4 linked regions of the Schizosaccharomyces pombe genome follow. Changing the gene in region 2 together with the main gene of any one other region gives a genetic interaction. Each region holds a gene or a part of one and is shown on either strand. Other genes may lie near its edges. The genes, in order: trm61, gsk3, asl1 and dad2.

What was found.
Region 1: mutations in gsk3 (region 2) and trm61 together harm fitness less than expected from each alone (positive genetic interaction), as found in Schizosaccharomyces pombe (2 studies listed by BioGRID).
Region 3: mutations in gsk3 (region 2) and asl1 together harm fitness less than expected from each alone (positive genetic interaction), as found in Schizosaccharomyces pombe (2 studies listed by BioGRID).
Region 4: mutations in gsk3 (region 2) and dad2 together harm fitness less than expected from each alone (positive genetic interaction), as found in Schizosaccharomyces pombe (2 studies listed by BioGRID).

Annotation. Positions count from the first base shown.
Region 1 is NC_003424.3:1,990,329-1,996,696, reverse strand, and holds trm61 (tRNA (m1A) methyltransferase complex catalytic subunit Trm61), read right to left. Parts: upstream 3,041-6,368; 5' UTR 2,768-3,040; coding exon 1,673-2,767; 3' UTR 1,490-1,672; coding exon of another isoform or gene 549-1,489; 3' UTR 507-548; downstream 1-506. Other genes in the region: Swr1 complex/NuA4 histone acetyltransferase complex subunit Swc4, read left to right, coding at 14-219, 284-372, 429-506, 549-1,489; mitotic septin Spn4, read left to right, coding at 3,768-4,910; inp53 (inositol polyphosphate phosphatase), read left to right, coding at 5,722-6,368. UniProt on the Schizosaccharomyces pombe protein: Catalytic subunit of tRNA (adenine-N(1)-)-methyltransferase, which catalyzes the formation of N(1)-methyladenine at position 58 (m1A58) in initiator methionyl-tRNA.
Region 2 is NC_003424.3:928,197-934,105, forward strand, and holds gsk3 (serine/threonine protein kinase Gsk3), read left to right. Parts: upstream 1-1,634; 5' UTR 1,635-1,742; coding exon 1,743-1,761; exon of another isoform or gene 1,762-1,809; coding exon 1,810-2,000; intron 2,001-2,481; coding exon 2,482-3,435; 3' UTR 3,436-4,001; downstream 4,002-5,909. Other genes in the region: SPOM_SPAC1687.14C (calcium-binding protein), read right to left, coding at 17-247; SPOM_SPAC1687.23C (uncharacterized protein), read right to left, coding at 963-1,277; C-5 sterol desaturase Erg31, read right to left, coding at 4,856-5,758. UniProt on the Schizosaccharomyces pombe protein: Interacts with cdc14 which is thought to play a role in the initiation and completion of mitosis. Involved in the positive regulation of mis12.
Region 3 is NC_003424.3:190,674-196,427, forward strand, and holds asl1 (O-glucosyl hydrolase Asl1), read right to left. Parts: upstream 3,378-5,754; 5' UTR 3,216-3,377; coding exon 1,623-3,215; 3' UTR 1,255-1,622; downstream 1-1,254. Other genes in the region: tsr402 (SSU-rRNA maturation Tsr4 family protein), read left to right, coding at 57-618; mevalonate kinase Erg12, read right to left, coding at 3,446-4,585, 4,835-4,909; chs1 (chitin synthase I), read right to left, coding at 5,417-5,501, 5,548-5,754.
Region 4 is NC_003424.3:2,783,748-2,788,430, reverse strand, and holds dad2 (DASH complex subunit Dad2), read left to right. Parts: upstream 1-2,138; 5' UTR 2,139-2,282; coding exon 2,283-2,418; exon of another isoform or gene 2,419-2,449; intron 2,450-2,746; coding exon 2,747-2,895; 3' UTR 2,896-3,272; downstream 3,273-4,683. Other genes in the region: dynein light chain Dlc1, read right to left, coding at 1-132, 193-303, 353-361; porphobilinogen synthase Hem2, read left to right, coding at 3,501-4,490. UniProt on the Schizosaccharomyces pombe protein: Component of the DASH complex that connects microtubules with kinetochores and couples microtubule depolymerisation to chromosome movement; it is involved in retrieving kinetochores to the spindle poles before their re-orientation on the spindle in early mitosis and allows microtubule depolymerization to pull chromosomes apart and resist detachment during anaphase.

The sequences.
Region 1 (6,368 bases), 1.1 Mb from region 2:
AGTTCAAAATACAATGACTAGTGCTGACATTCGGGATGTCTTTGAATTACCTCCTCCTGAAATAGGAAATAAGCAGAAATCTAAAACTCCAACAGAGAGAAGGCCAGAAGGAATTTCTCGAGAACTTTATTCATTGCTAGGCGAGAATTCTGCCCCGTTAGCAATATACCAAAAGAAATTTAAGGAAAAACCAAAAGTTAGTCACAAAGCTAAAAATTGGTGAGTAAATCAGAGCTCAAATAAATAAATTTGTGTATTCAGTAAGGAATTTACTAATTTGTAGGGTACGCCAGCCCTTTTCCATATCAAGCCGTAAGGATGATTTTACTTTGCATCATTGGGTCCTTAAATCAGAAGTAGATTCTGAAGCCTGTATGTTTGAAATTTTATTTGATAAGCGCTTGGTTAAACTAACCTAAACTGTGTAGCATACAAATTTGAAAAATTTAACGTCCCTCTGTTTATAATTGACTACACCGACGAAGAGTACCAAAATTATTTAAAAGGTTGAGATTCTCTACTATATTTCATTAACTAATTTGTTGTAGATGAGGATTGGAATAAAGATGAAACCGACTACCTATTCCGTTTATGCAAAGATTATGACTTGAGGTTCTTTGTAATAGCAGATCGTTATGATAATGAAAAATATAAAAAACATCGAACGCTTGAAGATTTAAAAGACAGATTTTATTCTGTGTCGCGAAAAATTCTATTAGCCAGGAATCCCATTAATTCAATGACTGCTGCACAGAGCTCTTTGTTGAATACGATGGAGTACAATAAAGAGCAAGAAGTTATTCGGAAGAAGTATCTAATTGGGCTTGCTTCTAGGACGCCTGAAGAAGTTGCAGAAGAAGAAGCTTTATTTATTGAATTAAAACGTATTGAAACATCACAGGCTAAATTATTAAGTGATAGAGACGAAGTTCTCCGTCTATTAGATGAACAGAAAGGAGATGGTGGCATTCATGAATATCACACAAGTGCTGGAATGAGCAGTTTAATTCAAGATATGATTAATTCTCAAAGAACCAAAAATAAAGTGGAGGAAGCTATTGTATCTTCTTCAGCCCCTTCTTCTGGAGTGTCTAGTGTTTTAAATACCCCTACTCGTCCACATGCTCTCAGCACACCAAGAATCAGATACGGTCCGCAACCGACAGATCCACAATTTGGCATCACTTGGCACGAAAAACTACATCCGGGCACTTTTGTTCGTTCCCAAAAAATCCCTGCCATAAAGGCTTCTTTATCGCAGAGAGTTTCGTCAGTTATGACTGAACTAGGAGTTTCTTCAAGGCTGATTATGCCGACAGCTAAAAACTTTGAGAAGTTCGTTGAGCTACAAAACTCAATCGTTTCGCTACTGGAACTGAAAAGAAAGGTAGATAGACTATCTCAGGAAACTGAAATTCAGGACAAGTTGAGCCGTAAACGCTCAGCTTCTCCTGACGGCTCCGAGAGTAAAAAGCACATAAGTCAATAATTCTATGACATTATACTCGATCTCAATTTGGGTAGTTACGTTTTTATAATAACAAGTTTTGAATGTTTGACGCGTTAATATTATTTTTTGTACCCTGTATGTCATTTACCGTGCCTGTGTGTCCTTTGGAGTACTTCGGCCTATTTTCACTAAATTTCTGTTTTGCATAAATATGAAAGTTATCTAAGGGCCTGTCTCCTGGTTCTGTTTATCTAGCTGAGATGGCAAATGCACCGCAAATAGCAAATAACTGGTGTGTGATTTTAAGTTAGAATCAACTCTTGCAACATCTGTCCATTCGTAATTTCCATCACCTTCTCTAATGCGTTTGTTAGTAACGGGCTTTAACGCCGTTTCTGTGGACACAGAAGACTTGTTTTCACCAAGCATTGAATCGTTATCTTGATCTTCTACCTTCGCATCAGAAGATAAGTTTTGTTCACGCCTCATTTTTCTTCTCTCAAATCCTTCGATCCTCCTTCTTTTAACCTCTTTTAGCCTATCGATTGCTTCGTCAATATGAACAATTCGACTCTTACGAGCAGCCCATTGCTTATAATCAACTTCAATCATTTCAATATCACACCAGCCAAGTTCTCGTAGTGCTTCAGCAGAATGTTGAATTTGTTCTATACAAGGAGAAAAACAACAAATTCGAGTGCTTTTATCATGATTTACATGATTCGAAAGATGCGGTATTGCTTCCCAGGGAGCTGGAAGGTCTAAAAATATAGCGTCAACCTTTACCTCCGTATCCAAAAAACCATCTTTGCAGACATCTCTATGAGTTAGATGAGTATTTCCACCCACATCAATTAACATCTCGTGTTCCCGAAATTCTTGTAACGCTGTTTGATAGCGAGTTGCGTGATATTCGAAAGTAAATAATCTTCCAAGAGGGCCGACTGTTCGCGATATTGCGTGTGACATGCTAGCACTACCAGTACCAGCTTCTATTACTCGGGTTCCGTAAGTGATACGAAGCTTTTGGTGGATTAAAGCAATATCTGGAGTGTAAACAATTTGTGTTCTGTGAGGAAGAGCGAGGGTCCATAGTTCCGGAGTTGGTTGAAGAAGGTAAATAAATCCTTGCTTCGCTGTAGATGCAATTTGCTCGCCGTACCTTTTACCAATCATTTCGGAATGTGGGAAGGCACCATATTGATTATGAAATGTTTTTTCAGCTTCTATATGTAAAGGAATCAACTTGTTCCTACCAATCCAAGCTACTGCCAAATCGCCATTTTCAACACGTTGTTTATAGTCTGCAAATACCATTATAAATTTCAAAAAAACATATAATATATATATATATATATGTATTACGAAAAATTAGAAGGTAGTGTTATTTAATTGCGTTTTAACAAATCAATATAATTAGCCAAAGAAAAATTGGGACTTAATTTTTCGTTGGTCTAAATTACCGGGTGCATTCACGATTATTGAAGAGTTAATAAAATAAGTCAGTGTGAAGTATATGAAGATCCGCTCAAATCTGTAATTTTAAATCATACAAGACTGAAGTAAAGAAGTTTTTAAAACTAATGTGTTGAGATAAATTTTTTTAGTCTTTTCAAGATATTATGGTTAACCTATCCCTACGCCCACTATGCTATTATTTTAGTTAACATTTGTTTAGTGTAGCCATGTTTCATTAGTTAAATATTAATAACGATATCTCACATTAACTCTCAAAGCTACGAACGTAAAATTCGTTAAATAATTTAGAAAATGCTATCAATGCTGCCGTTAATTACTATGCTGCCACGAATTAACTTTACACTGCAACAAGTTAGTACTTGTATATCAACTAAAACAACGATTTTGATCATCATATTACCTGTGTAGTAACTATTTTCTTGAACAATATAATGAACATTAAATCAATAACTTAAATGCATACTTCCCAGCAATCTATTTCTGTTACGTAGTATAGAGGTTTTTATATATTTGCCAAGCATAATTTCTGGCATTCAGAATCTTTATGAAATTTAATGAGCAAACTAGTAATGATAGTTAGTATATTTACGAGACGAAAGCCCGTTAAAAATATAATGAGGTATAGTGATCATATAGTTATATCGCTAACGAGTGATTGCAACGAAGCTTCGATTATCTATTTACTTAGACCTTCCGTTTTTTACCATTTATGCTTTAATAAAACTAATAACAATTCTCTTGCATTTTTTGGAAACTTTTTTATTTAGTTTGGAAGCTTTTAAGTCAATATTTTACAGACCGTTAAACAAAGGAAATATACTATTCATCTCTGCGCGTCATGAATGAAGAAGAGACAAACTTCGTTGGAATTGCGGATTTACCTAATCAGCGTCACAAAATAGTTTCACGAAATGGTGTAGCTTTCACTTTGATGCTTTGTGGAGAGTCGGGTCTTGGTAAAACAACATTTTGTAATACACTCTTTTCAACAACAATTAAATCACATATGGGCCCGGAAAAGGTTCGTGCGAAGCATGCTGAGAAAACGGTCGAAATAGAGATTACAAAAGCTGAGTTAGAAGAAAAAAATTTCCACTTAAGGTTGACAGTAATTGATACCCCTGGTTTTGGGGATTTTATCAATAATTCAGGATGTTGGGAGTCGGTAGTTGAATTTATAGAAGACCAGCATGAATCGTACATGAGACAAGATCAGCAGCCAGATCGTCGTAAGATCATTGATATGCGTATTCATGCTTGCCTATATTTTTTGCGTCCCGTAAGAAATGGTGTTCGGCCTATGGATTTGGAGGCTATGAAACATATTTCTAAGCGTGTCAATTTAATTCCTGTCATAGCTAAAGCCGATATGTATACTCGAAGGGATTTAGCTCTGTATAAAACTAGAATTTCTCAAGTTTTAGAATACCATCAAGTCAATGTTTATAAACCTAATATGGATGAGGGCGATCCCGTTTTTCACAGACAAATTCAAGGAATCATTAATTGCATGCCATTCGCGATTGTTGGAAGCGAAGATGACATCCGTACTCCTGATGGTAGGGTCGTTAAGGGTAGAGAATACCCATGGGGAATTGTTGAAATTGAGAACGAAGAACACTGCGACTTTAAACAGCTTAGGAATATTTTAATTCGGAGTTGTATGCTTGATTTGATTCAAACTACTGAAGAAAAGTTGTATGAGCAATATCGACAAGAGCAGATGAAAGTTCGCCAGTATGGAGAACCTAAACTGCGGACTATTGATAATGCGAAATTTAAGGAAGAAGAAGAAAATTTGAGAAAAAGATTTACAGAACAAGTGCGCGTAGAAGAAACTCGATTTCGACAATGGGAACAACGCTTGATTGCCGAACGCGACTCATTAAATAAAGATTTGGAAGCTCAGCATGTTCAAATAAAACAAATTGAACTTGAAATCGAACGACTAAAGGCGGCTACCAGCTCTCGCAAACGTTAGAGATAATGTTAAAATATAACGAAACTTGATACCCAATTATCATTTGGGTTTGTTTGCTAGTGAACCATACTATCATCTTTTATGGTCCTTCATTTCTAATACATAATGTCAAACGTCTATCTTGCCTCCCGTATAAATTACATTCTTTAGACAATCAATTAACTATATGATTTTATTTTATTTTTTCTATGCCTTTATACACTCTTTTATTGTGGTTTTATTCAACGTATAGTACATATGCTTTCATAAGTTGCTCAATTTTTATATAATTTTGATATCGAATAAATTTTCTGTATCTTATAAAATTTCTTGCATAAGTACTTAAAATTTCTCGTTTTGTGTCTTTCTGAAATAAAATTGTGCAATGTGTGTTTATAGTCAATGCTTAATAATATGTTACAAATATTTAGCTACATGACAATATGATCTTTCATTGCCTTGAGAATGGCTTTCAAAATTGTTTCTATAAATGTGAAGTAAACTATTTAGTTAAGCAATACAAATGCCTAAAAAATATTTGATAGTTTTTTGGAATTCCTAATTTGTATTATGCGAATTTCTACATCATCTTCCCTTTTGTTTTCTGTAAAAATGATTATTTGGAGTATTGTTGATGCGTGTGTTTGAGTGCACGAGGCTTTGTTTATTTCATAATAGGTCAGCCCACGCAGTGTCTTGGTTGTCTTTTTCCAACAATTAGCTGAAAAGCGCAAAAGGTCCAAACAGCACCTAATAGATTTTAGAAGTATTTAAAAAAGGTGATTTATTTAAAAAATTGATTTAAAGCATAAGATTGTCGTAATCATGGAACATGGCCTCTCGCCAAGGCTTCAGCAATGTGAATGAAGATGAACCCGAGTTGCCCCCTTCGGTTTTATCATTGAAATCAAAGTTCGAGTCATTGAGTACCGGTGACCTAACTAATTTGGACGAAAAAACTGCTAAAAGAAGAACTGTAAAAGGTTGTAAAAATGGCACTTCTGAGCCAAACGTTTTTAAAGCAAGACCTATTCCACCGCCGAGGCAAGTCTCATCGACTATAGGAAGTTCGACTGGACGAAAAGTTAGTGGTTCAATTCAAAGGCTAGCTTCTAATTTTAAAAATCCTTCAAACCCCCACGCTGATGTTTCAAAAATAGATCGTCTACCTAGTGATTCTTCTGAATCTCACGTAGCTACTCCATCTTCTCCTACTATATCTAATTCATTTGTTTCTGTTTCTCCATTACTTAAGCGACCTCAACAAAAAGGGCCTGAAATTTCTTTTCAATCATCTGTACAATCTACCAAAGGAAATGATCTAATGAAACACGATGATACCAATAATCATCAAATACCACCCCCTAAACCCAATTTTTCTTCGAAAGCAGGTTCTTCAAGCCCGATATCTGTATCTCCATTAAAAAATGTTAAGGCATATATTTCTCAGTCTCCAACTCACTCCGAAGCCTCTTCGGT
Region 2 (5,909 bases):
CCATTGATAAACAATCTCAAGATATATGAATCCACAATTCGGCAAATTCTTCACGCGATACTTTACCATTAGTGCCAGCTAAATCGAGCATCAACTGAAGCTGTTCTTTAGTCAAATTTTCCCCTAGTTGAGCGCAAGATCTTCGAAGGTCTTCAAAGTCAATGTACCCTTTGTGTGTCACGTCAAAAAGATCAAAAGCCTCTTCTGCTTCTTCATCCATTTCAAGACGTTTAGTACTGACAGACATGGTTCCCCTAAACTAAAAAACTATTCAACAAGGAAACGCAAATGCAAACAAATGAGATAGTGCCAAAAATGCTAAAATGAACGAAATAACAGTAAAAAAAAAGAAAGGAATGAAAATCAGCGTCCGATGGCTAGAAGAGATATAATTTGTTCAACAGTTATCAAAAAAAGACTAGAAGTGAGTTAAAAATCCAAACGAAAAGACAAGGAGGAATAATATGAACAGATAGACAATCAAAAGTGGAATAACTGCGTTTAAATACTAAGTAATCAGGCTATTTGATGCAATTTGAAGGTGGTACAAATGGAAATTTCGTGGTGCGATAAAGTGGACGAAACTTGACCTTAATGAATATATGGTATAAAAACGTTAAGCTGAATTTTTTTTTCTAAAACTGCCAAATCAACAAGGATATTGAAGAGACAGTTGGAAATCTCAAAATTTATGTATAAAATGTGTTCAATTGACTTTATTTACGTGCCAAGCCAACCTACTAAGGCGTTATTAGCTAATATAATAAATTGACCGAAGCTAAGGTTGTGCGCAATATTTAAATAACAAAACACGTAATACAAGATTTTTGATGAGTTAATAGATCGACTTGCAAAATGGCTTTAATGATGTAGGCTATCAAGCATAATCTCCTTTAGCGGTGTGGCATACTAATACTCGTGTTATATATTATATATGAATGTTTGACATTATTTATACACATTCATTTTTTAAGGATTCTTACTTTGTTTATGTATTTTTTAACATATTTGAGATGCTTCTGAGACATTGGTTCGCTCTCTGATTTCGTAGTTTTTCCATTTTTTCCTTTGAGACAGGGAGGGATACGCGATTTGCATATGCTAGTATAAATTTGTCTCCCTGTGAATGTTCCATTATTTACTGTATATGAATTGCGACAGCAGTTGCTACTGAAAGGTAGGAGCACAATTCTGATGGCATTTGAAAAGTCAAACTTCCTACTAGATTTTATGTGAATTATTTTAAAAAATATGTTTTTCTTTTCTAAAATCCACATCGAATTCAGTGTTTGCTCTAGCAGTTTCAAAGTATATCACTCTAAATTCGGTAACACTATTCAATATAACGGACTGGAGGAATTAAAACTCACAATGTGATAATCGCGTATACGTAAGATGGTTAATAACCATGAATTCAATTTCTCAAGCACGAATTTTTCATTAATATACGTACTTTTTTATGGTTATTGTAATAAATAAGAGGAAAGAATGAACCCTCTTTTCTTTGATACTTGCGCCGAGAGTTTACAGTTTTATGATTTGCTCATGTCCCGTAATGTTACCTCTTAGAAGTACGCACTTTGTATCATGCTACTATACCCCAGAGATTATTCTATGGTAGAACTTCCTCCACTACCACAACCCGTACTCCACGTTCATCACGCCAAGAAAACCTCCTTTTTAAGTCCTCTGATAGCTTTTTTTTCATTTTGTAATTTAACATTTCTGTATCATCATCCATAATGAATCATGGTACTAAAAGTAAGTTGGCTAACTTCGATAGTGCTGTTGTTCTAACCGTATAAATAGTTCCTGTGGACCCCTTTCGTATTATAAAGGAAACCGCTCGTGATGGGTCAACGGGAGAGGTGAAGCAACTTTCTTACACTTCGAGTAAAGTTGTGGGCTCTGGAAGCTTTGGCGTGGTCATGCAGGTTCATTTAATTGAATCAGACAGCAAAGCCGCTATAAAACGCGTTTTGCAAGATAAACGGTTTAAGGTATGTATTTTTATTGAATGCAAAATGCGAAAGGAAGGGTTAGATTTTACTTTATTTTTCTGTGAAAACCGCACACTTTTGTTTACGCTGAAGATACGTAGCGCGCGTGCTTCGTCAATATACGTAAGATTCATTTACAAAAGATTGGTCGTCTACATGCCATAAATGGTAAGAGAGTAGTGTTATTAAAACATTACTTGCTTTTGTGCTTTCTCTTCTTTGAAGTGTCCACAGGCTTACCATACCTGTTGTCATGAAATTGTACAACTCAAATGCCTATTGCTTTTTTTTTGCATCCATTGTACGATACACAAGCTTTTTTTAGCCAGTATTTGGATGCGTTGAAAATTTAGTGTATTCGTTTTGAACATATTTTTCCTTTTTCCCTCCTCCATTTTTTGCACTTCTTTCTAGATTTATAAAAAAACTCAGTATTATAAATCTTCTCCAATGAACCTTTGTTTCTAACACTTAATTTTAGAATAGGGAGTTACAAATTATGCGAATTATGAAGCATCCAAATATTGTCGATTTAATTGCCTACTATTATACCACCGGTGATAATTCCGATGAAGTCTATCTAAATTTGGTTCTAGAGTTTATGCCTGAAACGATTTATCGTGCTTCTCGTCTATATACTCGTCAAAAACTTTCTATGCCAATGCTGGAAGTCAAATTGTATATATATCAGCTTTTGCGTTCTTTAGCCTACATTCATGCTAGCGGTATTTGCCATCGTGATATCAAACCTCAAAATCTACTATTAGATCCGGAAAACGGAATATTAAAGCTTTGTGATTTTGGTAGCGCAAAAATCTTGGTTGCTGGTGAACCAAATGTCTCTTATATATGTTCTCGTTATTATCGAGCTCCAGAATTGATTTTTGGAGCTACTGATTATACTCACGCTATTGACATCTGGTCTACTGGATGCGTGATGGCTGAGCTTATGCTTGGACATCCTCTTTTTCCCGGTGAAAGTGGCATTGATCAGTTGGTAGAGATTATCAAAATTCTCGGTACTCCTAGTCGAGAACAAATAAAGACTATGAATCCTAATTATATGGAACATCGATTCCCACAAATACGTCCACAGCCTCTTTCACGAGTGTTTTCTCGAAGTGTTCCCCTTGATGCATTGGATCTCTTATCAAAAATGCTTCAATATACACCTACTGATCGCCTTACTGCTGCTGAGGCAATGTGCCATCCCTTTTTTGATGAGCTTCGGGATCCTAATACTAAGCTTCATAACTCTCGTAATCCCGATGCTTCTCCTCGTCATTTACCCGAATTGTTTAATTTTTCCCCCTTCGAACTATCCATTCGTCCTGACCTTAACCAAAAACTAATTCCGTCCCATGCTCGCGATGCTTTACCCGTGAAACTTGATGATTTTGTTCCAATTCCAATTCATCGTGCCCGAATTGATTAAATGTAACGGGTATATGCATTCATCTTCTAAAGTTCTTGTATATCCATTTTTGCCACCAAACTTATTTTACTTCTTTGTTGTATTACGCATTAATATAGCCAGTGAATCTGCCTTGTTGTGCGTACATATACCAATCGCTATCTATACTGATTCTACAATGGTCTACTTGTGTGGATATTCTTTTCGTTCACTTTTTTTTTGTCGTTATTGGTGTTGAATAAATCAAACCTGAATTTTGTTTTGATGAGAACTAAATTTTTTCGATCACGATTATTTTCTTAATTGTTATTTTAGGAGTCATAAGTAGACCATCTTAGTTTGCTGAAAGTTTTTCAGCGACTTTAAAACTTTAATTGGATGAGAAATGTAATCGGTAATTCTTTCATTCTGGAAAGTATACTGCAGAATCTCATATATACATATATATCATAATTCTTATACTAGTAAAATGTTTGTGATTGATTCAATTAATATTTTATGGTTAGGTTTCAAAAGAATGTTTTGTTTTTATTATTGTTTAATTCATTTTTTTGTCCTCATTAAAAATTCTTTTGGTAGAGTCATTACTAAGTTTTTGCTTCGTAGACTACATGAAAGAAGCTGGTGAGGCGAAGTAATATTATGATTCAATACTACCTAAGATATAGCAAACATCAAAAGGGTACAAAATTCTAGGAAATCATCTGGCAACGTTAGATATCAATATGTAAATAGAAATAGAAAAACATGTAAATCTAATTACATACTAAGTCAATAAATGGAAAGGAGTCTGGTAATTTTTGATTAATTAGCAGTGGTTTACAAACGAATAGTTACTAGTTATTGCAAATCAAAATTAGTGTCGATGACATGTGTAAGCTTGACATTCATTTTATTTCAAAATAGAAAAGTAAAGATAAGAGCAAAATTTTCATTTCGTATACGAAACTAGCAAACAACTACAACGACGTGAACAGCAAAAACGAGTGTATTTGAAGTAAATTATTTGTGAGATGATAGTACCAATCAACCCAACTGAACAAACAACGTTTCAAAAGGGAGGTGGTAAGAAATTGCAAAGCAAAAAAAACAAGTCATTTGAAAAGAAAGGAGTGAATGACTAGATGCGAGACTTCCAAATTTTCTGGATTTATCGTTCTAAAAGAATAAACCGAAAAAAAACAAACTTGGGAATGCTAAAGAGACTCGAAATGTAAATTAGCAAAAAGTTTGCAAAGGATATATAAAATCGCTCACATTGTTCCTTTATAGCAACTGAAGGTAGAGCGGGTAAATAATGCATGTAATACCAACCATAGAAATAGAAATACGTGACCAAAAGAGTAAAACCAACGGGGAAAAATGAAATGGGAATGATGAAAACGAAAAAAAAAAGTAAAATCTTTTCAGAGACAAACTCTTCTGAGTCTAGATATGTTGTTTAATGGTTCTTCTTAGCAGAGTTAGCGATGTATTCTCTATCATCATCACCTTCAACTTCATTACGAATAGCCTCGTACTCCATCAATTCGACACGAAGAACATCCTCGTTTTGGCGAAGATCTTTGTCAAACCATGCCTCATCGGGGGCCCGGAAAGAGTTGCCGAGGCGATCAAAGAGGGTGGTGAATTGGCCGTAATTGTAGTTGAAATAAATGTGATGGCCATTATGGTGAGCAGCACCATTGATGATGGGGTTGTTGGAGATGTATTTACCATCGTGAATCATGATGGACCAGAAGTTGACAAAGGTGAAAAGAGCCAAGTAGGTCAACTTGTGAAGGGGAAAGAAAAAGGGGAAAAGATGGTAAGGAAGAGATTGTAAGAAGCCATCAGCGGATTTGAAAGCATGGGATGCATATGGAGTGCAGATAATCCACTTATGATGGAGTTTGTGAAGACGAGGGTATACATAACGGTGATGAAGGAAACGATGAGCCCAGTAAATGCCAAAATCTGAGAACATGACAAAAAGAGGTAAGGAACATAAGAAGTATTTTAAACCGTAATCACTGATGTTGTCGTATAAGTAGCTGTACCCATGCAACTCAGCCAAAAACCACGGAACCGTCAATAACGCCATACCAGGTAAGTTTTGTAAAGCCGTTAGAACTTCCATGAACACCTGGTTTTTTAAGAACTTTGGGTGATCCATCAGACTTTTATCAAACACAAATTGGTAGGAAAGCGACGCAAATGTTAAATACAAGAACATACCGCCAAACCAAGTTAAAAAAAACAAACTGATCGACTGTCTAACGATATTGTCGCGAGCTAATGGATATACAGCATTGTATATCGAATCCAGCGCATATTGGTCAGCATAGTTGAGTAGGTAGTCCATTGAGGTGTTTGCTTAAAATCTATTGACCGGTGGTAGCGTATAAGAAGTACCAAAAAATGGTCTGATTTTGATTGCGATATCTAGTTGGCTGCTATTAATTAGTCAATAGGAAACCGAGTTATCTTTTTCGTTAAAGTTTTTATCAAAAAAC
Region 3 (5,754 bases), 740 kb from region 2:
AAATCACATTGTAAACCAGCATTTATCTTAATTGTACTAACTTTACATTTACTTAGTGTTAAAGTTTTTAGGGAACAAGCTCGTGAAACAGATGAAATAGACTTTCAATTAATTACATCAAAAGTAACTAAATTAATTGACTCTTCAGAAATTGAAGTTGATGCCGAACCAAAAGAGGAAAATAAAAAAGAAATACCGGAGAAGCTAAAAAATGTAAAAGTAGATACTGAGAATCCTTCCGCTGAACCGTATACTAAAGCAAAAGGTGATGTCTCATTCCTGAAATTTCAAAAACGGCTTTCAAGAGCGCCTGACCAAATTATGCGTTATTACCATGCGACTTCTAATGAATTTCCTGGTTTATGGTGCAATAATGAATGTATACCTTCATCTATACCCAATTGCGCTTGCGGAGCTAAAAGGCAGCTTGAATTTCAAATTTTACCTACTTTGATATCAAGTATGAATATTGATCATTCTGCGAAAAATGCTCTGGATTGGGGAATATTATCTATTTATGTTTGCTCTGCTTCGTGTGATTTAGCCAACTGCGGGCTGGCCGAAGAACTTTGTTGGCTTCAAACTTTTTCAGAGCAAGGAATTATAGCACCTGAATGATCTCCTATACGGCGGCATATATTTATGGAAAACGGAATTTAATTAGTGTTTATTGTGCAAATAGTTACGGGATTCTTGACTTTTGAGATGGTTGCTTTCGTCCGGTTGAAAACATTTGTAAGAGGGGCATGAGTAGAGTTTCTTTTTATGATTACAGTGAGTAGAGCAGGTTAAGAATCTAGTACTAGATTACTCGGCGTAAGTTAAATCTGCTGCAAAGAACTATGCAAAAAAAAGGTTACTTTAATAAATTTTTCGCAAGAGATTCGAGATAACTTTTTCTTTTAATATCTGCTAATTAAGTTTGTGATGTCTCTTAAATTGCTCATGCTTCTAATATCCTATAGTTCAATAAGCCTTTTCTTGTTCGTGTGTCCAAAGTTGCTAAGACCTCCTTTTGAAAAGAGGCAAACAAGCATGTAAAGAACACCCAGATATCAAACCACCCACAATGGCGCAATGGAGAAATAGTTGTTTTATCATTACAGCAGTCAATTATGCATTTGTTTTCATTTTATAGACGAGACTTTCGCTTATTATTTACCTTTATACTACAGATCATCAACAATGTCAGCAAATAAAGTTAAACGACTTTATCAAGAGTTCCAAAGCTTACAGAAAAGATTACTAATAAAATTTAAAAGACATTTAACGACTGTATTAAATTAAAACACGCAGCATATTCATTGAATACACGCTTTAAAAATTGTGACATCAAACACAATGAACTTCATGGTTGGTAAAATAAACGAATGAATAAATGAAAGATCGATGTAATAAGAAGCACATCTCCTATAAGCATAGTTCAGAAAGCTTAAACAATCTGATAGATGGCAGAGTATTCAAAAAAAAGCGACAAAAACCATGAAACAAAATATCATAAAAAAGAGTTTCAGAGCAAGAAGAAATAAGAGTATTTGACAGTTTAAAGAACGAAAAAAAAGCATAAGAATTACCATTATATCTCACAAGATAATTTCCCATTTTGTGTAAATTTAAGGAGTTCAAGAAATATAAATCTCTCCGACTTCACTTAATCCACCAGAGGAACTGATAAGGGCATTGTTATTACCAACACCGGCTCCGAGTTCGGTAGCAGGAGCAAACCAACTGTAACGCTCAACAGATCCATGTCCATCTAAAAAGCCAAGAGCGCTGGTCATCAAAGTCTTAACTTCATCCAATGAAGGTAAATTGCTATCATCCCAGTTGGTGCAAGCAAATTCAGTAAGCCAAATAGGGAGACCGTAATTGGCGAGAGAGTTAATATAATCTTGCAAATTGCTAAAGTCAATACCATACCAATGGCAAGCAATGAAATCGATCTTACAATCAGAGCATGCGCTCATGAATTCAGAAAGCCAATCTTCACCTACGTTACTGATGGCAGGTGATCCCAAATAACCAATGGCACCAGATTCACGAAGAGGTGTTAAGTATTGAAGATAATAACTAGCTGCAGTAGCTGCATCTATAGGATTTCCAGCAGCGGACAAATCAGGCTCATTAAATCCAATGACGGTAGCACCACCAGTGAAAACAGAAGAAGCTGAAGAAAGGCTATTGGCATCATGTTGGTTGAGAACATATTCAAAAGAGGAACTCAGACCAGATGAATAACTACCCCAGTTGTAATACCAGTTGATGCCCTTATTGACAAAGTTATCAGAGTAACCAAGGTCAGTTCCAGGAATCCAGGCCAAACCGCGCTTGCCAGAAACTGAAGAACTAGTAGGAGATGCTGATGCAGAGCTTGAGGTAGCACTGGAAATAGTACTAGAAGCAGCAACAGAAGTGGCACTAGAGACAACAGAGGAAACGACAGCTGAAGAGGAGGCGGCAGCTGAAGAAACAGCAGGAGTACTAACTCCCTTGTTAGCAGCAGAAACACTGGCACTTGCAACTACAGAAGAAAGAGCAATAGATGATGAGGAAGTGGGGACGTAAGATGTAGCAGAGCCAGCTGATATCTCTGATGAAGAAGCAACTGAAGACGAGACAGGAGCCACATAGGATGAAGTTGACGTAGCAACTTCAGAGCTAGCAGGATAAGAACTAGTAACTTCAGTACTAGAAGCAGAATAAGAGCTAGCAACTTCAGTACTAGAAGCAGGATAAGAAGAGCTAGATTCGGAACTGGTAGCAGGATACGAAGTGAAAAATTCAGAACTAGAAGTGGCAGATGTCTCGGGAGTTGATACAGGGACAGAAGTATTGGACCATACGGGTGCAGTAACGTTGTCCATAGTATATAGAGGAGTACTAACAAAAGTGGCAGGGTAGCTAGTGGCAGAGGAACTAGCAGCAGGGGCACTGGTTGTTACAACCACAGATTCCGTAGAGGTAGTAGGTAAAGCCGTTGAAGCACCATCGTCGGACGACTCGGTAACAGAAGCTAAACCAGTGGAGTAAGAAGTATATGAGGAAGATGAGTTAGCACCAGGAACTGCGGTAACATAAACAGTCTCCAAGATAGTCTCATACACGGTTAAAACGCCATCATCATCACGACGGTGATGGCGATGGTTAGGAGCATAGGGCAAAGCTCCAACGGTCGATAAAAAAGCTAAAGCGACGGTCGCGAAAGTAGTACGCATTTTTTTAGAAAATACTAGATAAAACGCGTCTAATACTAAAAAAAGAAAGAAAAGATGAAATTTGGTATATAGTTGATATATAAAAGAGTGGAAAGGAGTGTTGCTAAAGAACGGACAACGACTCTTATAGACTAGCTTCTACTGTGGTGGTTGGTGAACGACAAGCCGCGTTCATTATCAAGCCACTCATATATATACCAGTTATGAAAATTTGATTATACATAAAAACTTTAAATATAATATTTATTAAATTTGCTGAGTAAATTCAATTTTTTAAAATCAAAGTCAGACTCATATTGAGGGAAAAATGAATCTGAGTCGGTTACCACTGAAACACCAGGTCCACCTAATTGAACATCGTAAATAGAATTTTTATGGGCTAATAGTGATTCTTTACATAACTTAAATTCCTCTTCTTTGCACTCAGGTGTTAATAAAGTAATCGTACAACCTCCACCACCGGCACCTGTAAGCTTCGTCCATCCAATTGACTTAGTGGCTTGTAAAACGCGATCAATGGAATAATGGGATACACCCAAGCATTCTAAGAGTTTTTGATTAAGAACAATAAACTCTCCTAACTTTTTAGCGGAGGAGTTTTTATCGCTCTCCGAAGTCAATGCGAGGACGGCAGACTTTGATATGCCATCGATTGCATCTATTATTGAGTCAATCACAGTTGGTAGTCTTTCCTTCAGTTCAAAAACTCCTTGTACAAGTTTTTTAGTACTTTTTGGTTGTTTGGTATCAGTGATCATAACAGATAAGGTATCTTTAGGCTTTAAGAATTCTTTCATGGCACTCTGATGAGCTGTAGCTTTACGAAAAGCGATAAGTCCTCCATTTGTTGCTACTGCATTATCAATACCACTTGGTGTTCCATGAATACAGCATTCACCTAGAAAAGACCAAGCCTCTATCAACGCAAGTGCTTTGTTGTTTTGAAGAGAATTTGAGCTAGGAGGTTCAATATTACCAAAAGCTAGTAGTAAACTTGTAGCGACAACAACTGATATAGTAGCACTACTACCTAATCCAGCACCCAAAGGTACTTGGGAGCTAATAGTTAAAGTACAACCCTGAGAAGGAGAAGACAAAGACGTGAACAAGTAAAGGGTACAAAGCATTGCTGAGTGAATAAGTCCGTTTTCTTCATTTTTTAATAGCTCTCCTAATCCTTGTAAAAGGTCCAGATTGGGAGATGATGCCGGGTGCTGAACGTTTTCCACTGTTACATGCTGCCAAGGTAGCGATTGAAGATTCCATCGGCGTTCGGTCCCTATATCACTCATCACAATTACTATTTCATTGTTATTAGTCGTCTGTAATTTACAGTAACTCCGTAACGATACAGCTGCAGCTAACGCAGTCTAGAAAGTTAGCATAAAAATTTAAATGATCTCCATATTTTCGCTTTAAAATGGCTTAAGATTAGAATCAAAAATAAGCATGGCTATAGCAGAATGACATTTGCGACGACTGTCAAAGTTAAAAGTGGTGTTCGCTTTGCAAATACTATGTTACAAAGAAATCATATATGCATAACAGAGCTGTATCCAGTACTAGCCTGTTAAAAACTCTCGCTAATGTAATCTGCTTTAAACCTTAGGTAAACTTACAGCTCCATATACAACGGCATGTTCCCCAAACAAAATCGTTTTTCCTGGCGACGAAACAATAAGCGATTTTGACATTTCAGAAATTTTTTTTACGTTCAACTTCAAAACACAGTTAAAATAAGGTGATGGTAAATAGGCGACGAAGGTTGGTTATCGACAGATATCTACGCAAACAGGACAAGGTGATGATGGTATTGGAAGTTGTAGCAAAAGATTGGTATTTTAATTAAAAAGTTACTTTATTTGATTTTGTTTTAAAAGTTCTTTTGTAATAAAAATCGCGATGTTATAGTTTTCATATGCGCTAAGGAAAATGACTTTTTAAACGAGGTATACAGCGCAAAACTCGTTAGACATTTACATAAAACCATAAAATACTACATTTATAGCTTATAGCAAGAAAGCAAGAGCAAGTACATATATGATGAGTATTGATAACATAATATTTAAATAGACAGCTAAGCAAATTGAGAAGTAGTGTTCAGGTATAAAAAAATGCTGTTTAGTAAGTACATAATCTGATGAATTCATTAAAAAGTTTACTCATTAACAAATTAAAATATCTTAAAATAGCCATGCAAGTTATTCTCCCGTACAAAGTCTAATAAATAAATAAAAAATACAACCAATAAACCGAAAAACCGAGAAAGCAACGACGCTCCAAAGTCTATTATAGTTAGTCAACTGATAAAACAGTCTTGAAATCAACGTACAGAAACGACAAATAAGCGCTTGTTTCATTGTTTGAAATAGAGATCCCGTTAATTTTTGGTATACTTAGAACAATTCCTACCAAAAATAGGTTTGAGAGAATCCAGGTAAGCACAACATACGTTCGAAAATTTTTGTAAAAATCCTCTTGCTCTCCGTGATTAATGATGGGACTGTTGAATTCTAATGAAGGAGATGCCAGCAGTTTA
Region 4 (4,683 bases), 1.9 Mb from region 2:
ATTCCAGCAAGCAGCGTGAGCTGCGTGAACGCCTCTAGAAGGATGATCTTCGGGAAGCTTTTGTACAAGAGTGGAACTAACAATCCATTTGTAAGACTGGGTTTCCTTATTCAAAGCATTTAATACGGCATACTAAATGAGACATAAAGTTAGCTACCATACATAGATATTTGTAAAATAAAATGAACTTACAATAACAGATTGATTCATTTCAGCTGTTTTGTCTCCGTCATATTCGGAAGCCTTCAAAACCGGCTGAGCAGCTTCTAGGCAAATTTCTTCAAGTTTTTTGGAATCTATAGGCTATTTTCATAATCAAATTAGTAAACGAATCGCGTATTTGACGACTTACACAGCTCATTTCGAAATGGGGTATTTTGATGAGTACAAGGAGGGTACGCAGTGAGATAAAGACACCCACAGCTAGTACGACGTTTAACGGTGACAACCCCATCGATACAAAGTTCAACGCGAACATAACTCACGTTAACATTTCTTTTTATTGTTGATTTCTTTTTGCTTTAAACCTGAAGTTAAGTAAGGATTTTTCGCTTACAGCGAATCGTCAACTTCACGTTGGGATGAATGAGATAATTCAAATAAAGCATCAAGTATTGCTTTAAAGGAAAACAGCGTTTATTTCTATTTCTTACATTCTTTAATTAATACCAATTTGAAAACAGTTGATGGTTGAAACATCGATAATTGATTTCGAAAGAAATGCATAATGATTTTGGAAACCATGTCTTCCTCTAACCGTAATAATTGTATCGAAAAAACTCATAATTACACATAATTACTGGTGTTTGGATTACCAAAAGACATTAATGTGTGCTTTACGCTTTTAACAATACTCTTAGCAAGTCCAGTTTCAGTAATGAATTGAGTGTGTTTCTTTGAAGACGGGCCGAAGGAAAAAACAACAATTTAAATTCTCTGAACTTAAAGTGTATAGAATCTGTTTTTAGTTATCGAAATGTTAATTCAGCATGAAGGGAAAGCGATTGTTTTGCTGTTCATAGAATCCAAGTATCAATGTAGCGAAATCATCCAAATCTTTAACTATTTGATCATTGAATAAAACTACAAGATAATTTATGTTTAGTATTCCTACCATTAGTTCTTTCAATAATTTTACAAAAATGGAGAAGATCTCATCGGTACTGCGATACATAAAGATGCTACTACCCAAAGATTTTAAATCAATGATCCTTTCAATCCCCTAACCCTTTTATCCTTTTCCTTTTTTTTCTTTCCTATAGATTATTTACTGACTTTTATTTACAGGGACATTCTGTGATATAACGGTATTATAACTTGTTTAATTGTTATATAAATGTAAACGTTATTGCCGAAAACCATGTATAAAGTGCGTTATTCTAAAACTGTATATAGAATATAATAACATACTGCGCGAAATTTAATTGTGAGATCGAACAATTCAGTAACTGAGTATTTGGAGTAATAGTGAATTTTTGCGAAGGAAAATACTCGATTACCATGTAAACAAGGGTTTGATGTATGTTAAAAAGTTGTTAATTAGAAATGGATAATAGCCACTCTATTATAATTTGTTCTAAAAAAGTTGGGTATTCTTTAACGACCCGTTGGAACCGATCATTGAAGAAACTTCAATAGTGGATGAGACATTTTATGAATTTTTAAATTAGTCAAATACGGTTCAAATTTTAGAAAACATACGTGGAAGTTGCATCCTGTCTAGAATAAAAAATTCATTTCCTTATGTATCGGAACGTTGACAATCTTGTTGACCAAAAGAATATACTATCGAACCCAAATCTTAAAAGTCTTTTAAGCCCATTATACCTTGTGTAAAAAAAAATAAAAATAAAAATAAAAGAAGAAATAGTAGAGAATATGCACAGTTTTGATCCTCTTTAAAACTTTAGAGGGATGAAGCAATGCATACTTACTTAGTAAAATATGGATATAATAAGCTAGCTAAACTTGACCCATTATTTGAGTAATTATATTCACTATTCAACATAGTTTCCTAAATTCATTATTACTTTAAATTAATGAACTAACTAATTTATTAAAGATGAAAACAAATGGTTAAAATTGAGTAAAATCAATCATTATATTTTTTGTTAGTCTCTATTATCAACCTCTTTATTAGTAATACATTCCGAGATATAAAATTCCAGAAACGGAAATTATTTGTTTTAAACGTATAATTACAAAACCGAAATCGCCTTATATGGTGTAGGAGATAAATCTAGTAAATTTCGTACCTTCTTCTACAAACATTTGGCGTGAACATGCTTCAAGCAAGGATTGAGGAAAAGCAAAAGGAATACGAACTAATATGCAAACTAAGAGATTCTTCTAATGATATGGTTCAACAAATAGAAACGCTTGCTGCTAAATTGGAAACTTTAACAGATGGAAGTGAAGGTATGTTCATTACGAGGAAAGTATATAAAAGAGCCTTGTCACCAATCTGTTTAAGTGCTATTCATGTGAACAAGTATAAATATCATTACATTGAGAAAAGCAAAGAAACAAGTGAATTGATTGGATCTGCAGGATTGCAAATAAAAGCAATCATTTGCCGACATGTCTCTAAATGAACTTCTACCTCTCAATAATTCACCTAAACGTAAAAAATATAATCTGTTTATTTATTTATTTTTTCTATTTTCACTACTACTCATACATGCTTGACGACTCTTTTTAATCCATTATAATAAATGTTTGACACTCAAATCACTAACAAAATCAGCTGTTGCTACTGTTCTCAATAATTGGCCCAGCATTTTTGAGTCAATACAGATAGCATCCCAACATTCAGGAGCTTTAGTCCGAATTCCTCCTTCTACTTCAAATACCAACGCATCTGCTACGGAGCAAGGCGATGTTGAAGAGGTATAAAGACTTAAATACTCTTTTTAATTTCTCACTGAAGTAGAAAAGGCCAAGAATTGGTTAAAATAAATATTATTGTTCTGTCCATTTATTCATATTGTTTCTTCTATTTCAGAATTGGTAAAGCCGACAGCAAACCCAAGTTCCAAGTATCTTCACTTCCTAATGAAATGGAGAATGAGATCACCTTGTAAACTAAATGATATCTAAATTTTTCATTTGGTCATTTTCTTTTGGCGTTCGTCCTGTTTCGCTTGTTTGAATACTCCCAGCATTCCCTTACGACAATTAATTTCTTCAAGGACAAACAATTTATTCAGGAGTGATACTATTGTTATGTAATCAACAAATATCGTGGTCCGATGCCCGATTTTTTAAAAAAAAGTTAAACTTATTTATCTTAACCTTCGCCAACCTCTCGCCATCTGCCACTTACCTTTTTAAAAATATTTCTTAGGAAATCTTGTTGATCTTCCGCTAGAACTTTTTTAAATAACCAATAAAAGGCGCTTTTGCTGGTCCATTAGTTCCATTTGTCACAAATCTGCTTTTTTTACGCAGTTTTACATCTTTAGGAAAAATCAAATAAATTTTGTCAGTTAGTATTTAATATGCCTGTTGATATCAGTTCTCTTTTGCATGCTGGGTATTCAAACCCGTTGCTTCGTGAATGGCAAGGTGTACGTCCCATTACCAAGTCATCTCTAATGTATCCTATCTTCATTTCCGAAATAGATGATGCTAAGGAAGCCATTGATAGCATGCCTAATCAATTTAGATGGGGTGTTAATAGATTGGAAGAGTTTTTGGGTCCTCTCGTCAAAAAAGGTCTTCGTAGTGTAATTCTGTTTGGTGTCATCGAGTCCAAAAAGGACTATTGTGGTAGCATGGCCGATTCCGAAAATGGACCAGTTATTAAAGCCGTTAAAGAAATTCGTCACCTTTTTCCGGAGCTGGTTGTTGCTTGTGATGTTTGTCTCTGCGAGTATACTGATCACGGCCACTGTGGTCTGTTATATGAAGATGGCACTATCAATAATGCTAAATCCGTTGAGAGAATTGCTGAAGTTAGTGGAAATTATGCCTTGGCAGGCGCTCAAATAATTTCTCCTAGTGACTGCATGGACGGTCGTGTTAAGGCGATTAAGCAGAAACTTGTAGAGTTGGAACTGTCTCATAAAGTATGCGTTATTTCCTATTCTGCAAAGTTCGCTTCTGGTTTTTTTGGTCCTTTCAGAGCTGCTGCTAATGGTGCCCCAAAATTTGGTGATCGCAGCTGTTATCAACTTCCCTGTAATGCACGTGGCTTGGCCAAAAGAGCAATTCTTCGCGATGTTAGAGAGGGTGCTGATGGTATTATGGTAAAACCGGGAACACCTTATCTCGATATTTTGGCAATGGCTTCTAAGCTAGCAGATGACCTTCCTATTGCTACTTATCAAGTTTCAGGCGAATTCGCCATTATTCATGCTGCTGCTGCCGCTGGCGTATTTGAATTAAAAAGACATGTGATGGAAACCATGGATGGCTTTATGCGTGCTGGCGCTAACATAGTTTTGACTTACTTTACTCCTGAATTATTGGAATGGCTAGAATATTAAACAAAAAATAATGCGAAATCAATCATCTTCAAAATTATCATGATTGAAAAATTATTTTGTTTATATTCTTTAATGGTCTAGAGTTTCACTTATGAAATTGTTTTTCGAATCTGCGATTACCGGTTCTTGTTTATTAAAAATTTTCGTTTATAATCTGTAGCAGTTATTTACGAAAGAAATTGTTTTTCTTTCT